Pelodiscus sinensis: one gene and its partners. Each later gene encodes a partner of the first gene's protein in a complex. Links are inferred from orthologs where the notes say so. Each region holds a gene or a part of one and is shown on either strand. Other genes may lie near its edges.

What was found.
Region 2: the proteins of ARMC8 (region 1) and GID4 are in contact, whole or in part, in a cryo-EM structure (PDB 7NSC), measured with the Homo sapiens proteins. The link is inferred for Pelodiscus sinensis from reciprocal best matches to the Homo sapiens genes ARMC8 and GID4. Residues at the interface, in NP_001350870.1 of Homo sapiens: Glu309, Pro310, Asp311, Val312, Asn371, Glu373, Arg406, His409, Arg413, Ser414, Val415, Gln416, Arg419, Thr420, Gln423, Asp424, Val444, Ser448, Cys451, Asn452, Leu455, Phe457, Ala483, Val486, Asn487, Trp490, Met493, Asn494, Phe497, Gln498; in NP_076957.3 of Homo sapiens: Leu104, Ile105, Pro106, Pro107, Pro108, Pro109, Ile110, Gln114, Pro115, Gly116, Val117, Ala118, Thr119, Gly125, Gln146, His147, Tyr154, Cys156, Tyr158, Phe174, Glu176, Phe239, Val241, Pro242, His244, His292, Ser293, Ala294, Pro295, Ile296.
Region 3: the proteins of ARMC8 (region 1) and GID8 are in contact, whole or in part, in a cryo-EM structure (PDB 7NSC), measured with the Homo sapiens proteins. The link is inferred for Pelodiscus sinensis from reciprocal best matches to the Homo sapiens genes ARMC8 and GID8. Residues at the interface, in NP_001350870.1 of Homo sapiens: Asn45, Val47, Ile48, Gly49, Asn50, Val85, Ser89, Met92, Arg127, Arg130, Arg161, Tyr162, Tyr166, Leu200, Ser201, Tyr202; in NP_060366.1 of Homo sapiens: Ile83, Ala84, Asn87, His90, Pro91, Glu92, Leu94, Asp95, Thr96, Tyr101, Tyr183, Glu184, Asn185.

What each region holds. Positions count from the first base shown.
Region 1 is NC_134720.1:4,087,055-4,094,828, forward strand, and holds the start of ARMC8 (armadillo repeat-containing protein 8), read right to left. Parts: upstream 3,082-7,774; 5' UTR 2,868-3,081; coding exon 2,823-2,867; intron 2,506-2,822; exon of another isoform or gene 2,450-2,505; intron 1-2,449. UniProt on the Homo sapiens protein: Component of the CTLH E3 ubiquitin-protein ligase complex that selectively accepts ubiquitin from UBE2H and mediates ubiquitination and subsequent proteasomal degradation of the transcription factor HBP1.
Region 2 is NC_134726.1:33,124,063-33,131,888, reverse strand, and holds the start of GID4 (glucose-induced degradation protein 4 homolog), read left to right. Parts: upstream 1-4,757; 5' UTR 4,758-4,886; coding exon 4,887-5,075; intron 5,076-7,826. Other genes in the region: ATPAF2 (ATP synthase mitochondrial F1 complex assembly factor 2), read right to left, coding at 529-674, 1,056-1,100, 3,783-3,912.
Region 3 is NC_134728.1:7,429,101-7,437,045, reverse strand, and holds the start of GID8 (glucose-induced degradation protein 8 homolog), read left to right. Parts: upstream 1-4,860; 5' UTR 4,861-5,015; intron 5,016-5,666; 5' UTR 5,667-5,678; coding exon 5,679-5,796; intron 5,797-7,915; coding exon 7,916-7,945. UniProt on the Homo sapiens protein: Core component of the CTLH E3 ubiquitin-protein ligase complex that selectively accepts ubiquitin from UBE2H and mediates ubiquitination and subsequent proteasomal degradation of the transcription factor HBP1.

The DNA of each region.
Region 1 (7,774 bases):
TGCTCATATAAGTTTCAAATATAGATATTTCAATCTTGTAAGGAAGAGTAAACAGAAATTGTAATACAAAAACAAGTAGTAGCTGGCATATAACCTTTGCACTATTTTACTGAAACAAGCACATGCCTTCATGCTAAGGATGTTAAATATCGAGTTATTTACTTGTCAAGCAGACGATGGAATTTCCATCGACTAGTCGATAGGCACTTCCACATTCCTTCTCTGAAATGTACAAGAGATGTTGGTGGGGCTCTTGTACATTTCAAAGGAGGAATGAGGAACTCTGTATGCAGCCCGGGGCCAGCAGGAGGTACCGCTGACTCTGGGCTGTACGCAGGCACCAGCTTTGAAATGCTTCATGGAGCCCAGGTCAGCTGGGGACCCTCCAGCTGACCCTGGACTCTGCACAGCATTTCTCCGGAACCCGGGATCAGCTGGGGGCTCCCCAGCTGACCCTGGGCTCTGCACACTGCGCTGGAACCCAGGATCAGCTAGGCAGTCCCCAGCTGACCCTAGGCTCCACGCAAACATTGTGGTGGAGTTTCAAAGGGGTAGCACTGCATGGAGCCTGGGGTCAGCTCCATGTGGTGCTGCTTTGAAATGCTGAGGCAGCGTTTCAAAAGGCAGTTCCATGCTGCACTGCCGCTTTGAAGTACCCCGTCTTTCCCGCCTCTGATAGAGGCAGCAAGGGGAGGGGGAACGAGCTAGTTGACTAGTCCTTAACATCCTTACTTCACGCTGCTTAAAAAAACTAAATAATCAAAATTAAGACAGAAATAGATACTTCAGGTTTAAGGTACCCATTTCAGACTGGCAAGCACGATTTTAGTTCACATTTCATTTTAAAATATGGGAGATTTGCATTCAGTAATATACACTGTTACCCAGAAGTGCTGGGTAACGTATTCTTTTATTTTGCCATTTAACCAATAACACTGCCAATTATAAAAGATGTAAGAAATGCAACACCTTTTTTTCCTAGTCACAATCTCCCACTTTTCCCAGCACATTGGTGGGTGGCAGTAGAGTGCAACTACCATGGGTATTTTGTCTTATCTCCTCCCTTCAGAGCAACAGGAAGAAGAAATGCTTTCATCCTAGGACTCTTCCCGCCCCCTCCTTCATTCTAAAACTCCAGTGCTGTTGAAAGAGGACAAAATGTTGTCTATTCTAACACAACATGTCAACATAGTCGCAGTGGATGATCCTCTTCACATCCCACTGACATCAAAAGCTAAGTAGAGGATACTTCCAGACCACTCAATTAGCCTCATTCGCACCAGCACTACAATTGACAGGTATTTTTTTCTTCCCCTCTTTCTTTTTCGGTTATAAATTGTGAGGTTTCCCCCCCTTTTCTCTCCACTCATCTGAGGAAGTGGGTTTTGCCCACAAAAGCTCATGATACCACATATATAGAAAAACTTCAGAGGGGTGGCCAAGTTATTAGTCTGTAACAGGAAAAACAACAACTGGATACCAGGTGACAGGAGTCATCTGAAAAAGTGAGGTGTGCTCATGAAAACCCATGATACCATCTACATTTTTTGTTAGTCTTTAAGGTGCTACTAGTCTATTGTTGTTGAAGTTTTTACATATATAAAGACTAACTCTCTCTCTATATATATAAATAAATAAATAAATAAAGTGCTACAGGACTACTTGTCTTTTCACTAGAGTGCAAGATAGCAGCAGCAGCATGGTCATCAGAAGAGCACTCAGAAGAGATACAAAGAACAGTCTTCAGCAACCAATACAAAATTCCCTCTTGCCAGTGATGAGAGGGCAAGGGAGCTTCAAAAGCCCTGGACAGACAGCAGTCTTCATAAACAAGGAGCCCTGCATCCCTAGAGATTGGTACAAGGTTTACAATAAAACTGTGTAGACTCAACCCAATACAGGTAGAGGAAGGTAAAATGAGTACTTCCTGAAAATAAGTATCCCTACCATGTCTGCAAATAAGTATCGCTGCCATGTCTCCATCAGAAAAAAAAACAACCTTAAGAACTGAATATATTATATAAAAAATAACCAGAGAATTCAGAATAATTCGAAAAGACCTGAGTTTTTCTAAACGAGGATATCCAACACAAAGTGTTAGTATACTGAAATGCTCTTCTGGCTCTTACATCTTTCCCCACATCTAGCTATGGGACATCTATTAGCGACATAATAAAATAGAGATGCACACGCAGAAGATCATTAAAACTGTAAGTTTTCTGTCTTTATCCAGGAAGTTCTCATTTCTTTATTTCTCCCCCCAGACACATTCTCCCCCCTTTCATGCCATTTTCCAATGCATCTCCTTGCATCTCTTCCCCCTTTCCTCTCTCACCTCTTCTGCATTTCTCGTATCGTCTGTGCTTCCCCACCCACACGATCATCCTTCCCATTTCCCCCCGGAGTGCATCCCTGGCGGACCCGCCCAGCTCCCCAAGGGGGTGCCTACTCTCGCCCGGAGCCCGCCGCCGCGGCTGGGAGGGCCGAGAAGGCGAAGAGGTGGCGGCTCTCTCCGCCCAGCGTGGGCCTGTGGTTTCTCCGAGCCCCCCTCAGGACGCCCGGGGGGTGGGGGTCGCGCCGCTTGTCTCCGCGCTGACAGTCGCAGGCCACGGCGGCGGGCGCGGGCCCAGCAGGGCAGCGCCCTCGCCTGACGCCGCCGGCGGGGACAGAGCCTCGCTACGGGGAGCCAGGGCCCCCGGCCGGCCGCCTCGCCACAGGGGCTCCGTCGGGTTCGCCCCGCCGCCTGACACCGCCCGGGCGCCGCGGCGCGGGACCGGCCGCCGAGCGGGCCCCGCGGGGGCCGGGCCGGGGCGGGCACTCACCGAGAGGACGCTCATGCGGAGCGGCGTCTCCAACACACACGCCATCTTGGGGGCGCGCGCGCGCGCGCGCGGCACCGGCGGCACCTTCAACCCCGCGCGAGGCAGCCAGCGCTACCGCCGCCACCGAGCCTGGCCCATCTCTGTGGGTGGGGGGAGGGGGCGGCGCCAGCGCCCGGCCGGGCCGCCGGAGCTGCTCTAACGAATCGGCGAGTACCAACTCCAAACTCGCTCCAACCGTTGCGCATGCGCCCATGGAGGCCTTTGGCGCCCTCAGGAGCACGGGAGGGGGGGGGCGGAATTGTTCCTTCTGACTCGGAGTGGGAATTGCAGTGCGCATGTGCCAACGCTGGAGCGCGGCGGGCAGCTGTGGCTGGAAGGCGGGGAATGAGCCATTGGGCGGGGAATGAGCAGCGGGGGCGGGAGCACTGGGCTGGTTATGGGGGCGCAGGGAGGGGAGTGGAGCTAGGAGGGGAGGGAGCTGAATGAGCACGGGGGGGGGGGGAGGCAGCACAGAAAGATGACGTGGGAATGGAGGGGAAAGGGGAGCTGCACAGTTAGCAAAATAGAGAGTTTGATCTATTAACCCTAGAAAATATCGATGATGGAAAACGTTCATTCTGGCTTTCTACAGGGGCTCTTGGTAAAAATGGATTCAAACACCAGGGGGAAAGGACAGTTTTACTACAGGACAATGGCTCTGGCAAATTAATGGCTTTTGCCTTATGTACTTCCCTTTATTACTTTTGAGGGTCTCATGTAAAGAGCATTCAACGGAATGGTTCTTTCAAGTGCTCTGTAATCCACACAAGATATCTTAGTGTTGAGCAGGAACTGATGCACTTACAAATGGTCTGTGATAAGTTTGACATATCATCAACCACCATGGGCTCAGTGACCATTGGTGTCCGATGCCTCTCTATTTCCTTCCATCTTTCCCTGTCCAGTGTACAGTGGCTTAGTTTCTGTAGACTAGCTCCACACCAATCTACTACAGCTTCTCTCCGAGTTACAAACAAGTTATGGACCAAACACTTGGCCATAACTCGAGCTGTTTGTAACTCGGACCCCATTGAGTTACATGCGACCGCGCTCTGCGTAAGCGCAGGTCGCGTTTGTAACTCAGGGACCGCCTTAAGACCGCTCCGTGGGAGCTTTGGTCGTAAGTACGAACGGTTGTAACTCGACCTTTCGCAACTCAGAGAGCAGCTGTATATAATCTACCTATTCTCTATAGGGTCTGCCTCTCCTATTCAGACCATCCATTATGCCAAATACCAGGGTCTTCACTTTTCTCTTATTGTTCATTCTGCAGATATGCCCGAATAGCTGTAATTTCCATTGTATAACCTGCAGTAGGTACTCTTTCAGCTGTATCTTCCTATATAAATTCATCATTGACCTTCTGCAGCCATCCTATTCTCAGGATCTTTCTATAACAACTCCTCTCAAATGCCAATATCCTGATTTTATTCATATTGTTGATTTACAATCAGCATATCGACACTCATCTGACCAACCCTCCTCCTTTATCCAGCCTTGGGACTGGCATGAAACCCCTACAGCCTTCCTAGCAGAGTTTAAGTTTATGTGCCACTCTGAAATTGAAACCAAAGAAATACACGCAGATACAAAAAGTGGAAGCCTGTCTTGAGGAAAACAGATGTTTCCACTACAGGTAAGAATATTACTCTGACTCCCCAGACGCTTGCAGCTGTGCAGTTTGGAAGAGCTCTGCTCCTGTTACAGGAAGTTCATTGATGGGTTTGCAAATAGAGCAAAGCCATTGCATAGCCGGGGGGAAAAGTAAAACCAATCCCATGATTTTGCTTTCAGAGTTAATGATACTTGTGACTCGTCTACTCTCCCGCTTACCTGCAATTCAAAACACCAGACACATTAGTGCAGGGATGTCGAATACACTAGCCAGATATGGCTAGTTGGCTGGTAGAGCCAAGGCTAGTTCACTAGAGCAGTAGCTACTACAGTGGCTACTGCTTTAGAACTGGTTGGATGCCACAATGCTAGGCTATGTCTAGATTGCAGGCTTCTTGCCCAAGAAGCTTTTTGCAGAAGAGGTCTTCTGCAAAAAAAAAACTTCTTGCACAAGAGCATGTCCACACTGCAAAAGTGCATCGGAAAAGCAATGCGCTTTTGCACAAGAGGGCGTCCAGGCTGCATGGATGCTCTCACAAGAAAGCTGTGATTGCCATTAACAGAATGGCCACCAGGGCACCTGTGCTTCTTTTGATAGGCTGTTTTTGCACCAAAAACCCCATTTCCCATCCACACCCACCTTTTTACGCAAGAGCTATTACACAAAAAGGCTTATTCCTCATACAAAGAGAAATAACTTGCACAAAAACCCCTCTTCTGATTTACTGTAAATTTTCTTGCACAAAAATGCACTAGAAGCGTGGACGTTCTGTGAGTTTTTGTGCAAAAACTCTACAGGCTAGATGTAGCCCTACTACTTAGGTACTGGGGCAGTATTAGTATATGACCAAGGCCTTAAAAAGGAAGCTGTTTGTTGGTTTACGCACTCCCTACACTGGAGATAAGCTAAGGACCCCAGCAAACACTACAGTCCATACAACAATAAGGGAACACATTATACTCTGTCAGCTCCCCCTTTTGTGTTGGCCATTTTCCATAGACAATTCCAGGACTTCATTTTCTTTTCAGATGCTTAATGTGTTCAAGGTCAGTAGGACTCAACAGTACAGTGGATGTCCCTAGTGCTCGAGGCTTGTACCTCTTCATGGGATCTGGAGATTTTGCTTAGCCTGACTGTTTCAGGGTGAAGGTGCATTAACTACAGGCACAAGTGTGCACCAGTAAGGTCGCACTGGAGTCAAACACAAAATTGCTATTGAACTTGATCCTGTAAGAGAAGGTTGGACAATTTTTGATGGTGGGCCACTTCAAGAATTTGGTAAGTGGACAAAGGCCACACTCTTCCATGATATTAATGGAGATGTGAGGTATGGGATGGAGGTTGGGTGCAGAAGGAAGCTTGAGACAGTTGGGGTGCAGGCAGGATTTTGGGTAGAGGAGGGGGTTGTAAGCTGGGGCAGATGTTTGGGGTGCTGGGCCTGGGAGAGGACACATGTGCAGAGGGTTGTGACTTGGGGCAAAGAGTTGGTGGGAGGGAAGAGCTGGGGTCCCAGATGCAGGCTCTGGCCAGGAGGCACTTACCTAGACGGTTCCCGCTCAGCAGGTCCCTTGGGAAGTCCCTGCCTTTCATGCCCCCGCATGCTTTTTGGAGCTGCTGGCTACAGAGAAATACATGGTCCCTGAGTACCACAAGTCCCAGCAGGTGTTTTGCACACTGTCTGCACTTCAAACACAGCCCAAACAGCTTCCCATTAGTTTCCAGCCAATGGGAACTGCGAGATTGTGCTGGGGGGAAAGGCAGTGCACAACGCCTGTCCCCAACTGCTCAAAGCAGCTCATGGTCCTTGCAGTCAGACAATTTACGCAACATGCAGAGGCAGGGTAGGCAGGAAGATTGCACAAGCCTCCCATTGGGCAATGGGCTGGATCTGGCAGCTTGTTGAGCTGAATCTACCCCATGAGTTGTATTTTGCCTGCCTCTGCTATATGATCACTATAGTACCTGAAACTGACTCCCTCCTTGTCACTGTACTGCTTTGCAGAGACTACAACACCATCAATGAGTCAGGGATGAATGTCCATAAGCAGGGCTTGATAAACAGCAGTGAAATCTGCTCGCCAGCCCCGCACTCCGCATGCGCAAGACCCGCATTGTGCATGCGCACGCTGCCGGTGAACAGGGCGACTGGTTGAAATCTACTCACCACGGGCAAGTAGATTTAGTGATTTGTCAAGCCCTGTCCATAAGAAATACGGTACTGAGAGAAAGGTTGAATGGTATGCAGTAAATAAGGCATACGGCTATTCACTGAATAAGGGTGAAATTAGTATAACAGAAAGCATCATCCATTCTATGCCCTGAAAGGGGCAAGGACCCAGTTTAGCTTTCAGATCCAACTTTTGAATCCTTGACATTCAACCTTAACATTCATTCAGTGTAGTTTGTGTGTGTAGGTTTTTTCTTTTAAAAAGCAAACCAAATCCATTATGCAGAAGCAGGCATCTTCCAGTCCATTTCAGGTTTTGACGCAAGTATATATAGAAATTAAGGGTCTGTTACAAGATGCCCATGAATCTGTGTTTCCTACTGCTAGTCTCCTGCCTCAGGAGAGATGTTCCCCCTTCTCTCAGTTCTAATATCTAAAGCTATGTCTACACAGTAGCTTCATTTCGGAATACCTGACGTTATTCCAAAATAACAGTACACGTCTACACTATAAGCAGTTATTTCAATAATGTCAAAATGATTGAGCTGGAGGAATTCTTACTCCGGCTTCTGTAACCCTCATTTTATGAGGAGTAAGGGAAGTTGGAAGAAGAGTGCTCTCTCTCAGACTTCCTGCTGTGCGGAAATAAGCTATTTTGACTTAAGCTACACAATTGACATAGCTCAAGTTGCATAGCTTATTTCGGCTTTAGCCCTGCTGTATAGACATGCTCTAACAGCATAGCCATCCCTGTGGTGAGAGCATCCTGCTCAGCACCTGCTACTCTGGGATGGAGCAAGCTCAGTGCAGACTGGAAGCTGTCAAAGAAGTTTCAGTAAGTGCAGGCAACACATTTTCATAGGGCCAGCAAAAGGCATAATGCTATGCATAAGGCAACTCCCTCAAATTTTAGCACCAAATGATGGAGACAGTAGAGCTTCAATAAAAAAACTGTTTAAATATCAAAAATAAATAAATAAAAGCACAAATATGGGCCTAGAAGGGATCTGGAGACATCACCTAGCCCATTCCACTCAGGCAGGACTAGGGATGTAAAATCCTGATTAAAAAGTTAACTGGTAAAACAAAATGCTGAACATTACAGTTAACTAGGATCCTGCAGCATGGCAG
Region 2 (7,826 bases), on another chromosome or scaffold:
TCCCACCCAGCCAACACTTGAAGAATCCTTATCATGGTAGTAACCGAGTAAGGTATAGTGATGCAAAACTGACTCCAAGCTGACGGGAATCTTTTCAGCTTTGGATCAGGCCCTGTGGACAGTGACAGGACAGGAGCTCGCTGGTGGCCTTGGGGTAAAGGCATCTGGATGAAAAGCATTTCCAGTCCCATTCACATGAGAGTTTGGCCAATGTTAGGCAGCAGTGGTTAACCCTCGAGTTAGACCCAATAGCTGCGAACGGGTGAGTCGCACTTTGCCCCAGCTCTGTGGGCCAAGCAAAAGCCAAGAAAGTGTAAAAACAATTACTAGCCTCAGCCCTTTAATACACCCATCTAGTGTACTGCTTTAGCTCAGAGACGTGGCTGCAGTGGCTACAGCTCCCAGCACGCTATGTTCCAAGAGGAGGCTGCCCATAACAGTGGCCTTAGCAAAATCACTTGTTAGATTCCTTCCCACCTGTGAGTTCACTGTGGCACTTCCCCTTCCACCAAAGCCCACAGCGCTCACCAGATGCATGGTGTAGAACTTGATGGTGTCCTGCTGGGAATCCCATTCTGTAGCAACTGCAATAGCCAGGGCCTCGCTGGGGACAGTGAAGAGTTTGGCCTGGGGCGTTTTCAGCTTCCTGTTGTCCAGATTTATTTCAAAGCCGCCTGTGGGATCAGATTAGAGACTTGGTAGGATTACAGGGGAAAGCGCACACAGGATCCAGATGCAACCCCTCTGGCAGGGGGAAGATTCAGAGACAAAGCTGAAGGGAGCAAATGTATCCCCAGCCAATGCCAGGGATTCACCTGGCCCAGGAGTCTCCCCACTGCAGGTCTAAGGGGCACCGTTCCTGGAGGCCGTTTTGCCAGCCATTTGGGATAAAGCTGGCTCGTGCGATCTGGTTTCCAGGCGTGTCCAGCATCCGCTGGCAGGTATGGCCCTTGTTCCAAGCAGAGCCTGAGAGACTAAGCGCTCTTCTCTCTGCCTGGCTGTCACACAAGGGGCCTTGCTGGACAGCCTACCAGACTCCTGGAGGAAGCACTCACCTTCGCCTTGGGAGATGCTAACGTTCTGGTAAAACTTCTTCCTTTCTGAGGGGAAAAAAAGACATCCACTCAGACAGCAGCAAAGGCAGCAGCCAAGACCCTCTCCTTTTCCCTGCCCGCTGCAGATTCACATGCCAGCTCCTGTAGGCAGTGCTCAGCATGACGCAGTTGGCCTCTCTCCCCATTTCAGAGCCTTACTGGTTCAGAATCCCTCTCCACAAGTCCATGTGCCCAAGTGGCTTTGGACCTGCCTGTGGGCTTTGGTGTGAGGTCTGTCCTGGGAGAGAGGGCTCACCGTGAACCAAGGGCCTCTCTTTAAGCAGAGCAGTTGCTTCCCTCTAGTATGCTGGACCCAGCTGTAGTTCCCTAATGTTTAACCAGTTAACCAACTATGCGGGATCCTACCACTCCAGCACCCCAGCCCACAGGGCTCCCACTCCTAGCCCCACACTGAGGCTGGCTCTGCCGGCTCACAGCTCCAGCCATATAGGGCTAGATGCTAGGGCTGCTCCCGGGGAACCGGTTAACCATTCACATCCCTCGCCCCTGCCCACATCTCTCTCATCTAATTAGACTGTAAACACTTGGGGGCAGGAACCATCTGCTTCTCTGTCGATGTCCAGCACCTCAGCTAGTAGAGGCCCACTCTCAAGTGGCCTGTAGGCACTACTGTAATAAACATGACCAATGATAATATTAAACAGATGTGAGGCCCCAGAGAACAGGACAGGCCTGGAATACATGCTGGTGCAATCCCTACCAGCAAGCCCCTCTTTGCCAGGCTGAATATTAAACTAGCCCTGCATCAGCCCAGCTCTTCAGCCACTACCTTGGAAACAAAAGTAATGTGACCTGTCGAGCATTGCTCAGCTGGCCATGGCTTTTCCACCCGCTGGAGAAGCAGCAACTCTAATCAGCAGGTACTATCGGTCCCATGTAGTTAAGGCAGGTCACCAATATCCAGCCAGCTTTTAAAACAGCTCCCTCTGGTGCGATTTCAGGCGGAAGCTGATGATATACCTGAATCTAGAATAGCCCCTAAATTACAGTGCCAAGCTAGCCTGTCACACTGCCCTGAACGCCCTCTGGCTGGATCCAGGAGCATTGCACGCAACACACTGTAAACCCATGTCCTGAGTGAGTTCACGTAGATGCCAGGTAGACCACAGCATACAATTTAATATATTGAGGGTCTACCTCCCGTTATGCTGCACCCACTATGTCAAGGAGAATGTCTGGTGCAATAAATAGCAAGTCTACCTTTAGGGCTACAGGTCATAGTTTTAGAAGCAATTTACATTTGGCATCTGCACTGTTGCAAGGCACAGCCATTAGACTTCTAAATGGCATGAACAGCACCTGCTAACTTCCTGACAGCATCCACATGTAACACAGTTAGATCCCTGCACTGACAGACAGCCCACCCTGCACAAAAACCACAGGCAACATAAATGAATTCAAAGGACTTCTAGGGCCTGTACTATGCAGGAGGCCCGACTAGCTGATCACAATGGTTCTTTCTGGCTTTGGAATGTAGGAATGAATTAACACGTGAAGACAGGCTCTCTGAGGGCATGCAGAGCAACAGCTGATAAATTCCAAACTGAAAGCTATAGGCTGGCCCTGTGGATCCAGTTCCCAGAGTCTGTGTTAACACAGAGACCCGGCCATTTAGACAGACACCTGGTCCCATTTCCCACACAAAACACAGAGAACACAAAACCTCTCCAAATCTTTGCCTTGGCAGTACAACATAGGTGTATGTACATAATCTCTAGAGTTAACAACTGTTACTGGACTGCAGCTCCATTTCTACATCTACTGTGCACACAGGGCCCCTGGGTTTCCAGAGTCCCAGTTAAGGCAGACTGCCTAGAAACAAGACAGTTGCAGGATCAAGGGACTTAAAGAATGCCATATTTTAAGGCTATTCAAGCATGCGCCCACAGCCTTGATCCTGCAACAAGACACCCTCACCCCCTCAAGTCCTGATTTAATGGGGCTCCAGGATGTGCATTTCATTGCAAGTTCAGAGTCTTAGTTTGTGAGAAACAAAGGATCAAATTTCACCATCCTCATACAAACAATTGAAATCACAGAGGAAAGATGTTGAAAGCACCACTTTACGACTAAGGAAGGATGGACTGGGGTGAAGGGACTCAGGAGACCTAGGTTTCATTTGCTGCTCTGCCACAGACTTTGTGTGTGACCTCCAGTTTTCTGTCCTTCCGCATCTCCTGTATAAAGTGGGAAATCACAGCACTGCTTAGCCCTACAAGGGGGCTGTGAGAAGGAGTAGATTAAAGAACTTGAGGTACTCAGCTGCCATGGTGATTGAGCTCATAACAGTACCTAAAATAGAACTGCAGGTACTCAGTGAGGCTGTATGCAGGCAGAGCAGCAGGCTCACATGCTGGCAGCAGGAGGCGTGAGGCATTAGATTTTGAGCTCACTGGGCCAGCGATGTCATTTTCTTTTGCCTCTGCACATAATAAATGTTTGTTGTTGGGCTTGATGTTTCAGATGTTCAGTTGGGGCCCATTCCACAAACCAGAGCTCTCCTCTGTAAATGGGGGACGGGGCATCACATCCCTCTCATAAACTGTGGTCACAGCTGGCTTTTACAACTAGTCAATTCCACCACTGAAAAACATCCCTGCAATTGGAAATAACCATGCTGAAATTTGCCGAGCATGCAGCAGGACTGCTGTCCAGCGTTGTCCTCACCTGTTGGTGGCGTGTATGCCCGTACCATGCACGGCAGCCAAAGACTGGGGCCCCCAACAGGAAGTGTTGGGCACAGCCATGGAGCCTGAGGCAGCCCGGCGTAGAACAGCCGCTGGCAACTGCGCCACATTCTGGGGAGACCGTGAGCTACAGCAAGATGGGAACGGCCTGGACTTGTTACATACAGGTGCGCCTAACACCTTGGGATGGCCTACCAGCATCTAGCCCCCCCCCCCCAAGAGCTCCCTGCCGGGATCACGGCCCCCCCCCCAAGAGCCCCCTGCCAGGATCACGCCCCCCCCCCAAGAGCCCCCTGCCGGGATCACGGCCCCTCCCCCAAAAGTTCCCTGCCGGGATCACGCCCCCCCCCCAAGAGCCCCCTGCCGGGATCACGGCCCCTCCCCCCCCCAAGAGCCCCCTGCCGGGATCACGGCCCCTCCCCCCCCCAAGAGCCCCCTGCCGGGATCACGGCCCCTCCCCCCCCCAAGAGCCCCCTGCCGGGATCACGGCCCCTCCCCCCCCAAGAGCCCCCTGCCGGGATCACGCCCCCCCCCAGAGCCCCCTGCCGGGATCACGCCCCCCCCCCCCAAGAGCCCCCTGCCGGGATCACGCCCCCCCCCAGAGCCCCCTGCCGGTACAAATAGGACCGGGAGGGGAAGGACAGACCCCCGCGGAGCCCACTGTACAGACCCGGGCCCCACTCCCTACGGGGCCGCACGGACGCGACTTGCGAGCCACCTGCCTCCACCTCACCGCCGCGGCCCGGTTACCCAGCCACTCTGCCTCTGGGCGCCGCCATCTTGCTCGCCCAGCGTCCAATCAGCATCACAAACGCTTTTTGTCCCTCCGAGGGCCCTGTCACAAGGCCCTCACAGAAACAACGATTCCCAGGAGCCAGCGCGGCCCCCACGTGACGCCCATCGCCCAATGGGAACGGCGCCCCGCCCGACGCGACGCCCGCTGGGCCAATCAGAGCGCGCGGAGGCGTCGCCGGGAGGCCCTGAGGTAGGCGGCGGGGGCAGCCGGCGAGCGCCCGGGTCAGCAAGGCGGCCGGGCCGGCTCCCTGCAGCCCGTGACACGCTGGCGCCCGGGGACCCCCCCGAGATGCCGGTGCGGAGCGAGTGCTGCTGCCCGGGGGGAGCGCGGGGCCGCGGGGCCGCCAGCCTGGTGCCGCCGCCCCCCATCAACACGGCGCAGCCCGGGGTCGCCACCTCCCTGCTCTACAGCGGGGCCAAGTTCCGCGGCCAGCAGCGCAGCAAGGGCAACGCCTACGAGGTGGAGGTGGTGATGCAGGTGCGGCCCCCCCCCGGCATCCCCCGTGTCCCCCAGCGCCCCCTCGGGCGGGACCCCCACAGCCCCTCCCGGCGCCCCCCCAACATCTCTCCCCTCTCGGGATCCCCCCCAGAGACCTCCCCAAAGCGCCCCTCCCCCCGACACCCCTCTCGAGCCCCCCCTCCTGCTTCCCTTTCTGGGGCCCCCCCAGAGACCTCCCCAAAGCGCCCCTCCCCCCGACACCCCTCTCGAGCCCCCCCCTCCTGCTTCCCTTTCTGGGGCCCCCCCAGAGACCTCCCCAAAGCGCCCCTCCCCCCGACACCCCTCTCGAGCCACCCCCTCCTGCTTCCCTTTCTGGGCCCCCCCAGAGACCTCCCCAAAGCGCCCCTCCCCCCCGACACCCCTCGAGCCACCCCCTCCTGCTTCCCTTTCTGGGGCCCCCCCAGAGACCTCCCCAAAGGGCCCCTCCCCCCCGACACCCCTCGAGCCACCCCCTCCTGCTTCCCTTTCTGGGCCCCCCCCAGAGACCTCCCCAAAGCGCCCCTCCCCCCGACACCCCTCTCGAGCCACCCCCTCCTGCTTCCCTTTCTGGGGCCCCCCCAGAGACCTCCCCAAAGCGCCCCTCCCCCCCGACACTCCTCGAGCCCCCCCCTCCTGCTTCCCTTTCTGGGGCCCCCCCAGAGACCTCCCCAAAGCGCCCCTCCCCCCCGACACCCCTCGAGCCACCCCCTCCTGCTTCCCTTTCTGGGGTCCCCCCAGAGACCTCCCCAAAGGGCCCCTCCCTCCCCAGGGCATCCCCTCCAGTCCCAAGATGCCGCCTTCTGCAGTTCTCCCACCAGGGATTCCTACCCCCCTCCCCCAGCATCTCTCCTCCTTGGGGCATCTCCCCTGAGCGTCCCTCGTCTTGAGGGAACCCTTCCACCACCACCCTGTAGCCCTTCCTGGGGCTCTCCTATGAGTGATCCATCCCCAAGTGTCTCTCCCTTTAGAGGAATCCACCTGAGCGCTTCTCTCTGCTGTGAGGCACCCTCCCCCCCCAGTGCTCCCCTGCACCTCTCCTGGGGTCCTCCCCCAGGGACACCCCCTAGAGTGCCGTCATTTGGGGACTTCCTAGTTTGTCCCTGTCTGCTGCTGGGGTCTTCCTAGTGGGACTTCCCTCGAGAGCATCCTCTGCTGCTCTCCCAGCAGCCTCCTCCTAGAGCACCTCTAGCATCTTCCCTCTCACTCTACCCTAGACTGTCTCCCAGGGACCTCCTGAGCAGCACCTACCCCCCCCCCCCGCCCGCCGATTCCCCCAGTACCCCATGTCTCATCTTTTAGGGTCCTTTCTCTTGAGATCCCCCTATTCTCCTAGAGCACCTCTTGGGGATTCTTCTGTTCACTTCCTGCCCCACTGCGGCCTTCTTTGGAGGACCTCTGACCAGCAGAGCATGGACTTCTGTGCAACCCAGGCACTCACAGGCCCCCTGAGAACTCTCCTCCAATGACTACTCCATAGAGATTTCTTTCCCTAATTCCCCCATTTCACAGAGATCAAGAACCAACATCGGTACATGCAATATTTTATTTTAAAGCATCTTTCTTTCTCAGATTGGGTCCTTGGTCCCTGAGATGTCCACAAGGACTGCCTTCCTTTATGTATCCATGTTGACCCCATAACATCCCCTCATGTGATTTCTCCATTCCTAAGGCACCCCTTCCCTCAAATTGGGACCTACTGCTCCTAAGACCTTTGTTTTGGGTCCCCCACTTCTAGGGAACTTCATCTTCAGAGATCAGGTGGGGACCCCAGACCAAATAGCACAGGCTGGGTCTGTGAGGTGGCTGTCCAGGGGAGGTTAGGGACCCTTCCTACCCAGGGAAGGCCTTCATGACTCCAGATGTACCCTGGCCCAGCAGCACTTGCGAGGGGCAGGTGATGTGGGTGGATCCCCTTCCCCAGAACACCCTTTGCCCCCAATTTGGATCTGAAACTCAAGAGTAGCTGTATAACAGAGAAAAACAATCTCTGATCTGGGCAAGGTAGGTGACACCTTTCTAGGGACCCATCAGGCCTACAGCCCAAATTGCCCCTTCCTGGAGCAGTGGGAGTAGAACAGAGTAAGTGAATGAAACTAGCTTGAGTCTTCTTCCCACAGCTGCAGTTGAGGAAGAAAAGCAGCTGGGACTGGCTGAGTGGGTAGTTGCATGGCAAGCCAGGCTACATCAAGAGGGCTGGGGAGGAAACTACTGCATCACATGCTTGTCATCTGGGTGTAAGCTGTTCTCCAGCCATCATAGACACTGCCAAGCTGTGCACAGAAATTCAAATGACGCCCCCGGTGATTAGCAGAGTCCCACAGCTAGGCTTTTTGTTTCTACTGGTGGTGCACATCTGCACATCCCTCTGTGCACGTATAAATGTATTCCGCACATGGTTGGAAAAGATTAGAGGAAACGTTGATCATAGGTGTTTTGGCCCTGGGGGCTTGCATGGGGATTTCAGCCTTTCAGCCCTGAGATTAACAATCCCTGCATGTCTTGTCTCTGTCTTGGAAGTGTTTGGCTCTCACCGTGACAAGGGGACAATGGCCGTGCCTACTGGCATGTCAGCAGCACAGCTTCAAGGCTGCAGATGTGTCATTGTGGTATAGTGTAATCCCTTCTTACTGCAACAGGGCTTTTTCTGTTGTGGTAGTTAATCCTGCTCTGTGGTCTGTGGTAGCTAAGGCCAGGTCTGCCCAGCTGTGTTGCTCAAAGTATGAAAGATCCACATCCCTTAGAGATATAGAT
Region 3 (7,945 bases), on another chromosome or scaffold:
CCTTTTTTCCTACTTTTTAAAGTCCTTACAAAGTTGTAGTTAATAGAAGATTTTACAGAAAACTATTTTGGAATACATCCCATCATCTTTGAAACTCTTACACTCATGGAAAGCTTGGTTCTTTAGAGCAGTACTTTTAGTCAACACAAGTCATGCTGCTGTGATGGAAGAGCAGATTGCCTCCAGAGAAAGAAGTGTGGCACAGGGAGTTGGCTGACCAATCTGCTAAATACCTGGTAATGTTTCAAACATAGAGGGACCTCAAATATTTTTTTAAAGATTTGGTCTGACTTTTTATACATCTTTGATTAATTCCTACTAAACAAAAGCCAATGTAATTCTTCCTTTCCTCTCTCTGCCCCCCTCTCTTTTGATTTCCTCAGTAGTTTACTTTTTCCTTTTTTTTTTGTTCTCTTATTTTGAGGGAAAAACCTCAAATATAAATAAAAATAATAAAGATTAGCCTTGCTGTTTTCTAGTGTCTGCAGGACACTGGAACATGGGAGATGTTGCTGCTATTATTTGGTCCAGTCTCTTCCAAGCGGGGAGCATATTGCCACTCTGAAATAATAAGGGCCCTACCAAATTCATGGTCCATTTTGGCCTATTTCATAGTCATAAGATTTTAAAAATAAAAAATACCATTATTTCAGCTATTCAAATTTGAAATTTCACAGTGTTGTAATGGTATGGGTCATGACCCAAAAAAGAGTTATGGGGGTGGATGGTGCATAACATGCCACCTTTAGTTCTGTTCTGCTGCCTTGAGAGCTGGGCTCTTAGTCAGAAGCTATCACTCTCTTGCCACCCAGTTCTGAAGGCAGTGCAGAAGTAAGGATAGCAATATTGAGAACCCCCTGCAATTCCCTTTTGGTTCAGGACCTCCAGTTTCAGAAACACTGGCCTCTCCCATGAAATCTATATATCAGCACACAAAAAACCTGATTTCTTGGAAGGAGATCTATTTTCACGGTCCGTGACGCATTTTTCATGGCTGTGAATTTGGTAGGCCCTAGAAATTACCACTAAAGACTGCTTCTTCTAAGCATCCAACTTCTTCTATCTCATCCAACCCTCAAGTCACAGAATGACATTTTAAAGAGTTTGGGACTTCTCTTACACAATACAGAAATGTTTTGGCAGATAGGGTGTGGGAAATGTGAAGTGTTTGTTATTGGGATATTTGTCCTAGAGAGTAGCATGGGCTTTGCATTGGGGAGGAAAGAAATTATGTGGGGAAATTTTCCCACTTGCTTTCCAGACACCCTTCCCTCACAGTTTAATACATTCCAGTCTCCTTTCTTCATCTATTGAGAGCACCTACCTTAATGAAGGAGTTAAGGACCTGTTTCCCACCTCACATTGTACATATGCTTCAAATATGACCTGGTGCTTCTAAATCTTAAAGCATGCCAGATCATACAGTACTAGGAATCGGAGAGCCCACCTGAGCGCACAGTTAATTGGACAGACCAGCAGGCATTACACAGTGGATGATCCAACACTTACTCCACCTGGTATAAGGTAGAGAGAGGAGAATGAGTAAGCTGGCAGGCCAGCCAATAATGTATTTATAATACATTGAAACTAGGATAAAACTTGAGTCACTATAATCAGTTAGACGCTGATTCACCAAAATATCCAGGATTTTCTTCATAAACTATGATGTTTGTAAGGAAGACTGGCTGACAATGCAGACAAAACAAATCAAGACCATACAGATTTAGAAATTATTTGAATCTTTAAAACATACTTTAAAACTTATATACATTAAGAAGATATTTCTACCAAGAAAATGAGAGTTAATATGGACATGTGTTTTCATCATTGTGGAGGCAGGAAAAGGGAATAAGGGAATTTGTGTGCAGCCATCTTGGTCTTGTTAACAAGAAAGCAAGAGTCAGGCTAAGTCTGTGGTCTGACAATGCAAGATCTGTGATTAGACGCTGCCTTTGCCTCTCGCCTCCATACCAAGATAAGGGTAGAATGCTGACTCTGGCAGGGACCTTGAGATAAGGAGCATCTGGGTGGAACTAAATAACTGTTAGCCATTGGTGTTTGTAATGGGAAGGAGACTAATTGTTATTGTTATTATATTTAATAGACAGTATATAAACTGCTTCATAATTGCTTGTATTTGAAGATCTGCCTCGGGGGTGCTCCCCCCCGTCCGAACCAGTTTTTCCCTTGCTGCAGCTCCTAATAAAACTGCCTCTGGCTACTTGTTGCTTACAAACTCAGAGTGAGGACAACGTTTTCTTCCACATCATTAAAACAAATAGAATGCTCCTAAGATTTCACAGTTTTCCTTTGTTTGCAAACTCATTAAAAAGGCATTTGCTCAGGTAACATTCAAAACATTTTTTTTAAACAAAAATTACTAAACCCTCCTCCCTCCCCCCAAAAAAGCTTAAGCTCTACAGGAAACTGTTTGTACACATATCATTGTTTGTCATTCTATATTTTCACACCCAAAATAGAGGAGGAGCAGTGTGCCCCTGGAAGCAATAGTTGTAGTACAGCACCTATTTTTCTCTCAATTTCCATTTATATTGTGCAAAGTCAATTAAGGGAAAATTATATTATACATAAGTCAATGAAGGGAAAATTATAAATAATGTGTGTTTTGTTTGCCTGAAACTGTGAAGAAACTAGGAACCAACACAGCTGCACATACCTGGTCAAACTTTCCCTTGTTTTTTTATTCAACAAGACATATTTATTTTTCCTGCTGTTATAATCTGATTTCAAAATTTTTGTTTTCTTTTTACCTGTTGTTGCAGTTGTAGTCTCAGTTATACTCTGCTACAGCCTTCTCTTCTTTTCCTGTGTTTGAGGTGTGGACCTCTGTAAAATAGAATCAGGAAGTAGTCATAGGGACTGGACCTACCCAACCTCCCCACCTATATAGAAGTCTCCAGATAAACCCCTCCTTTTAGGGAGGAGTTAGTAAGGTCAGATAATTTGAAGGTTTGGGGAGTGATTGGTCAGGATATGTTCTTCAATCATATTAATTAAAGAAACATAGAAAATAAGTCCTATGCTTCTGGTTGGGAGCCAGAAACTTCCTGAGTTTCCTTGCTTACACCTTATATTATTCCTGATGAATTCCAGAAGGTTGATGCAAAACCCATTAAAATAAATAGGTATCTTTCCACTAAATTAAACTGACTTTAAATCATGCTTTCGAGTGGATTATAGAAGATAAGAATAAGATGATTGACAAATGTAGAGGCCTGCACTATTATCTGGAGTCACAGATGCAAGGTTTATGGTTTTTTTTATTTGTATCTCACACTCATATTTTGTAGTGCTCTTCAACAGTAACTTTGAAGTGCTTATGATAATTAATAATAGTAGGGGGCTATGCCCTCTGCTTGCTACACTTGCCAACCACCATCACCACCTCGCCACTGGGGAGGGCCCATAGCGGCCCCGGGGTTCTCCCCCCTATCCTCAGCTACCGGGAAGGGTCCAAAGCCGCCCTGGGCCCCGCTCATCTCTTCCCACCAGCCACCAGGAGGACCTGGGGCAGCCCCAGCTATTCCCCGCCCCCAGTCCCTTGGCCACTGGGGAATCTGAGGTCGCACCAGCCATTGCCCCCATCCCCCTGTTGGCGGGTCCTGGTTCTTAGCTCTGCCTGGCTGCCAGGAGGGCAAGCTGAGGCTGCACTGGGCACGGCTCTCTCCACAGCCGCAGGGAGGGGCTGGACCAAGACCATGCCAGCCCTGGTCTCTCCCCCCTCCCTCCACTGCTGGGAAGGGCTCTGCGGAGGCTGTGGCAGCTACAGCTCTCCTCCAGCTGCTGGAAAGGGGAGAGGAGGGAAGGGCTGGGGCCACAGGCAGCCCTAGCTCTCCACATGGGCCCTGGCGAAGGCCAGGCTGGGAGTGGGTGGGACTTGGCTCCTGTGGACGCAGAGTGATGTGAAAACATCATTCTGTTGTCGCACAGGAAAAATGTTTATATATAGAGAGATACCTACTTGTTCAAAAATCTGTTTTGATTACAAAGATTCAGTAGAGACCTGTTTTGAGAAATAACTCAAATGTAAAGTTCTTCCCGCAGGGGGCTTGACTTGATGACCAGTTCATCCAAGACTAGGGGTTATGCTTTTTGGGACAATTGCAAAAAATGAGTGCAGAGAGCAACTTTAAATTATTGCTTTTCATGGAGATAGGAGAAAGTAAAATGACCAGTTTTCCTGGAGGACCCTGCTGTATATTGTTCTGAAAATACAGGCTTCTGTTTTAATACGGATTTACCTATTTCTGCTAGGGGCTGATTTTTTTTAAAAATTATGTTTCTCAACTGAAATAGTTACACTGGTACACTCCCTTGTTTGGACCTTTACATGGCAGAAAGGATACCAGTGTAACTGTGTCCACATTGCAGGACTTGTCATGTTTGAAATACACTGGCATGATCAAAACAATCCTCTGGTCTGTGCCTAGGGCAGACAAGGCCTACGGGAAACTCTCCCTGCACAATCCCTACCTCCCAATAATAATCCCTGTGCAGCCAGGCTTAGTCTGTGTTCAGAGTTGGCCCCCCAGTCCTGCATGCCCCACTGTGTGCTTGAGATTCACATTCACCCACTGACTTGCATGGGCCTAATCACTGGCCTGGCTGAGAGGCCCTGATCCTACAGAGCCTGTCAGCCAGGCCCAGGGGTGGCCCAGGGGAGGGTGGTCAGCGCCCACCACAGGTCCACGCCAACGCTCTCCACTTGTTGGCACAGCCTACAAGGCCTCCCTCCCACAATCTCTATGGTACCTCCCGGGCTACCTCTCTGGGCTTGCCTTCCGTAATCTCTATGGTGCTTTCCCCTCTAGGTCGCCTCTGGGTTTCCTCTTCCTCCCATCTCTATGGTGCGCGCGGCCCGCCGGCTCCGGCAGCGGATTGGCTGGGAGGCAAGTTCTCGCGAGACGATAGTTGAGCCCAGCGTCCCGGCGGAGGGAGGAGGCGGAGTGGGGTTCTGGGCCCGTGCACCGGAGCCGGCGGCGGTGGCTCGTTCGGTAAGATGGCGCCTGGCGGCCCCTTTCCTCCCGTGGGGCGAGACGGCGCTGGGCCCAGGCAGGGGGTCCGATCCCGGGCGGGATGGAGCCTGAGGAGGGGGCTCGGGGCTTGGCGGCACAAGCGGCCGCAGCCTCCGAAGAGCCCAGCAGGCCGGACCCCTCCCCACGGGGGCAGCGGGGCTGAGGGACGGGCGCGCTTGGGAGGGCCGAGGAAGCCTTTAGCGCCTTGGAGGCGATGCTGTGAAGACCGGCAGCGAGCCGGGCCACCCGGCCGACCCTCGGCCCCTTGTGAGGTGCGGGGCCGGGCAGCCTGTGTGAGAGACGGGCTGTGGGACCCCTCGGAGGGGCGACTCGGTGGGCGGCCGTGTGTGGGGAGGGAACGTCCGTACAGTGGCGTCTGTTGTTTAGGGGGGAGGGGAGAGAGCGAGAAGGGGGTGTACGGTGGGTTTCAGATACAGTGGCGGATCTCAAAAGCAGAAGAGTTCAGTTCTCCGTTTGCTCACCTTTTGTTTAGCCAACACGATGTCTTGAACCCGCCCAGAAGGTATAAATAACCGAGCTGGTCACATCGTTCTTCTAGGCAAATTAGACTTAACTTTTCTTTCACCAGCTGGTATGTGTGCCCAGAAAGATACTTTTCATCCCTTTTAGTGAAAGTCCAGGATGAGTTATGCAGAAAAACCTGATGAAATCACAAAAGATGAATGGATGGAAAAACTCAATAACTTGCATATCCAGAGAGCCGATATGAATCGCCTGATCATGAATTATCTTGTTACAGGTAATAGTGAGTAATGGATGCTAGTATTACATTTCGTAGGTTGGTTTATTTTTGGATCATCTGCTGTTTATTTTAATCAATACAATTCATCCTTACTAGAATAAGCTATTAAATGGTTGATATTAATAGATATCACTATTGCCTATATTTTCTGTGGTTTCTAGAAAATATTTTTTCTAGAATTCACAGAAAATATAGCTTAATAAAAATAGTTTTAAAATGAGTAAAGGAAAAACAATTTCAGTACTGCCTAATTACTTTTTTATTAGCATATCACACGCACCCTATTAGCAGCACATTATTTTTGCTAAGCAAAACATTAAAGAACCAAATGTTCTTTACTTTAACTATTTAGACTCTACTGGTTTTACCCAATATATATTTCCTGTTTTAATCTTAGTTTTTCTGTTAAAAAGCTGTTTCCTTTATGGCATTTCTGGTTTGAAATACTGTTAACAAAGACTGCTCAGAGTTTAATATCGCACCTTTGATTATACTATTTTCCTTAAACTGAGCGTGTGATGGCTTTTACTAATGTAATCTGGACAGCATTGAACAAACTGTATCCACACTCTTTTCATCACAGAACAGGAGGAATGATCAGAAACCAGCTTCAGCTAATTTAGTCGAAAGAGCAGAATAATTCTGAGGAAATAATGTTCCCAAAACAGCTCAAGAATATCAGAATACTAAACATGTGAGACATCCAGAAACTGCAACTTAAGAGAAACCAGAAACCCCTCAGAAATTGTCATTTGGCAATGTGATATATTAATTTCCATTTCAAGATGCACCATAGTGGAGCTGTTCATACGCATCAAGTGTCCCCCCTGTTTGTGTATATGGAGCTGGAACCTGAGCAGTGGAAGACACACTTGAGTGACCATGCCAAGTTTGTCATAAGTTGTTTATATGTAGGAAAAGAGTGCCTAATAAGAATGTAAAATTCTGGTTAATCAGTTAAACATCAGGTAAACCTAATGCAGCAGGTAGGGAGCTGCTCCAGCCCCCATGGTTAACCTGAATCAGTAAGTTTACCAGTTAACTGGTTATCTTTTCACATCCCTAGTGCTTGTATAGTTGAGAGCCTTTTTTTTTGTAAGATAAAAAGAGCCTTAATGTGGTATGCAGATGAGTCATGTTTATGCTAATTATAAAATGTCTATGAGGGATGTAAAATCCTGTTCAGTTGATTAACTGCTTAAACATGATATTTAACTAGTTAGCTGATTAAAGAGAAGGCAGGTGGCGGAGGGCTCCCCTCCTGTCTTCAGTAGGCTCCCTGAAGCTGAAGCATCCCCTTATGGGAGGCAGGGAGCTGTTTCAGCCCCCAGTGGTTATCAGGAACCAGTTTTTGCTATTGTTTTTCCTGCAAAAGAATAACCATGCCTAAATATGCCTGACAGGTCCAATAATGGGGTAAATGATAAACTTGAATCCTTCCCAGTAAAATTTTATTTTATATATAGTTAAATATAGAAGGGATAGGAACTGAATGGATTTAAGGAGAATTAAATGTGAAGTTTTTATTTTGATATATTTACAAAAATGCCAGCTTCATTGAAATGATTCCTAATAGGATTTTCTGCACATCTTTGTATATTCTCTTAATTTGGTTTATTATATAGAAATTCAGAAAACAACATTTAGACCACAAAGTTCCATAGCACTGAATGTCAATATCCACATCATATAGCTTTACTCCAAGTGTCTATAAAAGCTCCAGAGGGTTATTACTAATGTGGTGCAGCCCAGCCAGTCTGTAGCCATACAGTATCTCCTCCCGACCGCAAATCTGATTTTCAGGGCTCAATGTTCAGGGACTTTGGCTGTGTGACCAAAAAGTGCATCTGGTGGTGACTGATGAGGACTTCAATCCTCTACAGGTCACTTCTCAATAATACATCCCTATTGCTGAGAAAATCAAACTATATTATGTCCAGTAGTTCCTTCTAGCAACATATCTGAAATGCTTCCAAGCCTCCTGACATCTTGTTTAAGCAACATTTGTGTGTCAGAGCTATATAAGACAATTGGATGTATTCATGTTTGATAAATCTGTACTTTTGTATATACCTTATTAAATAGAATTCAAAGATAAAACACTTTTACATTTCAGAGGGTTTTAAAGAGGCAGCTGAGAAGTTTC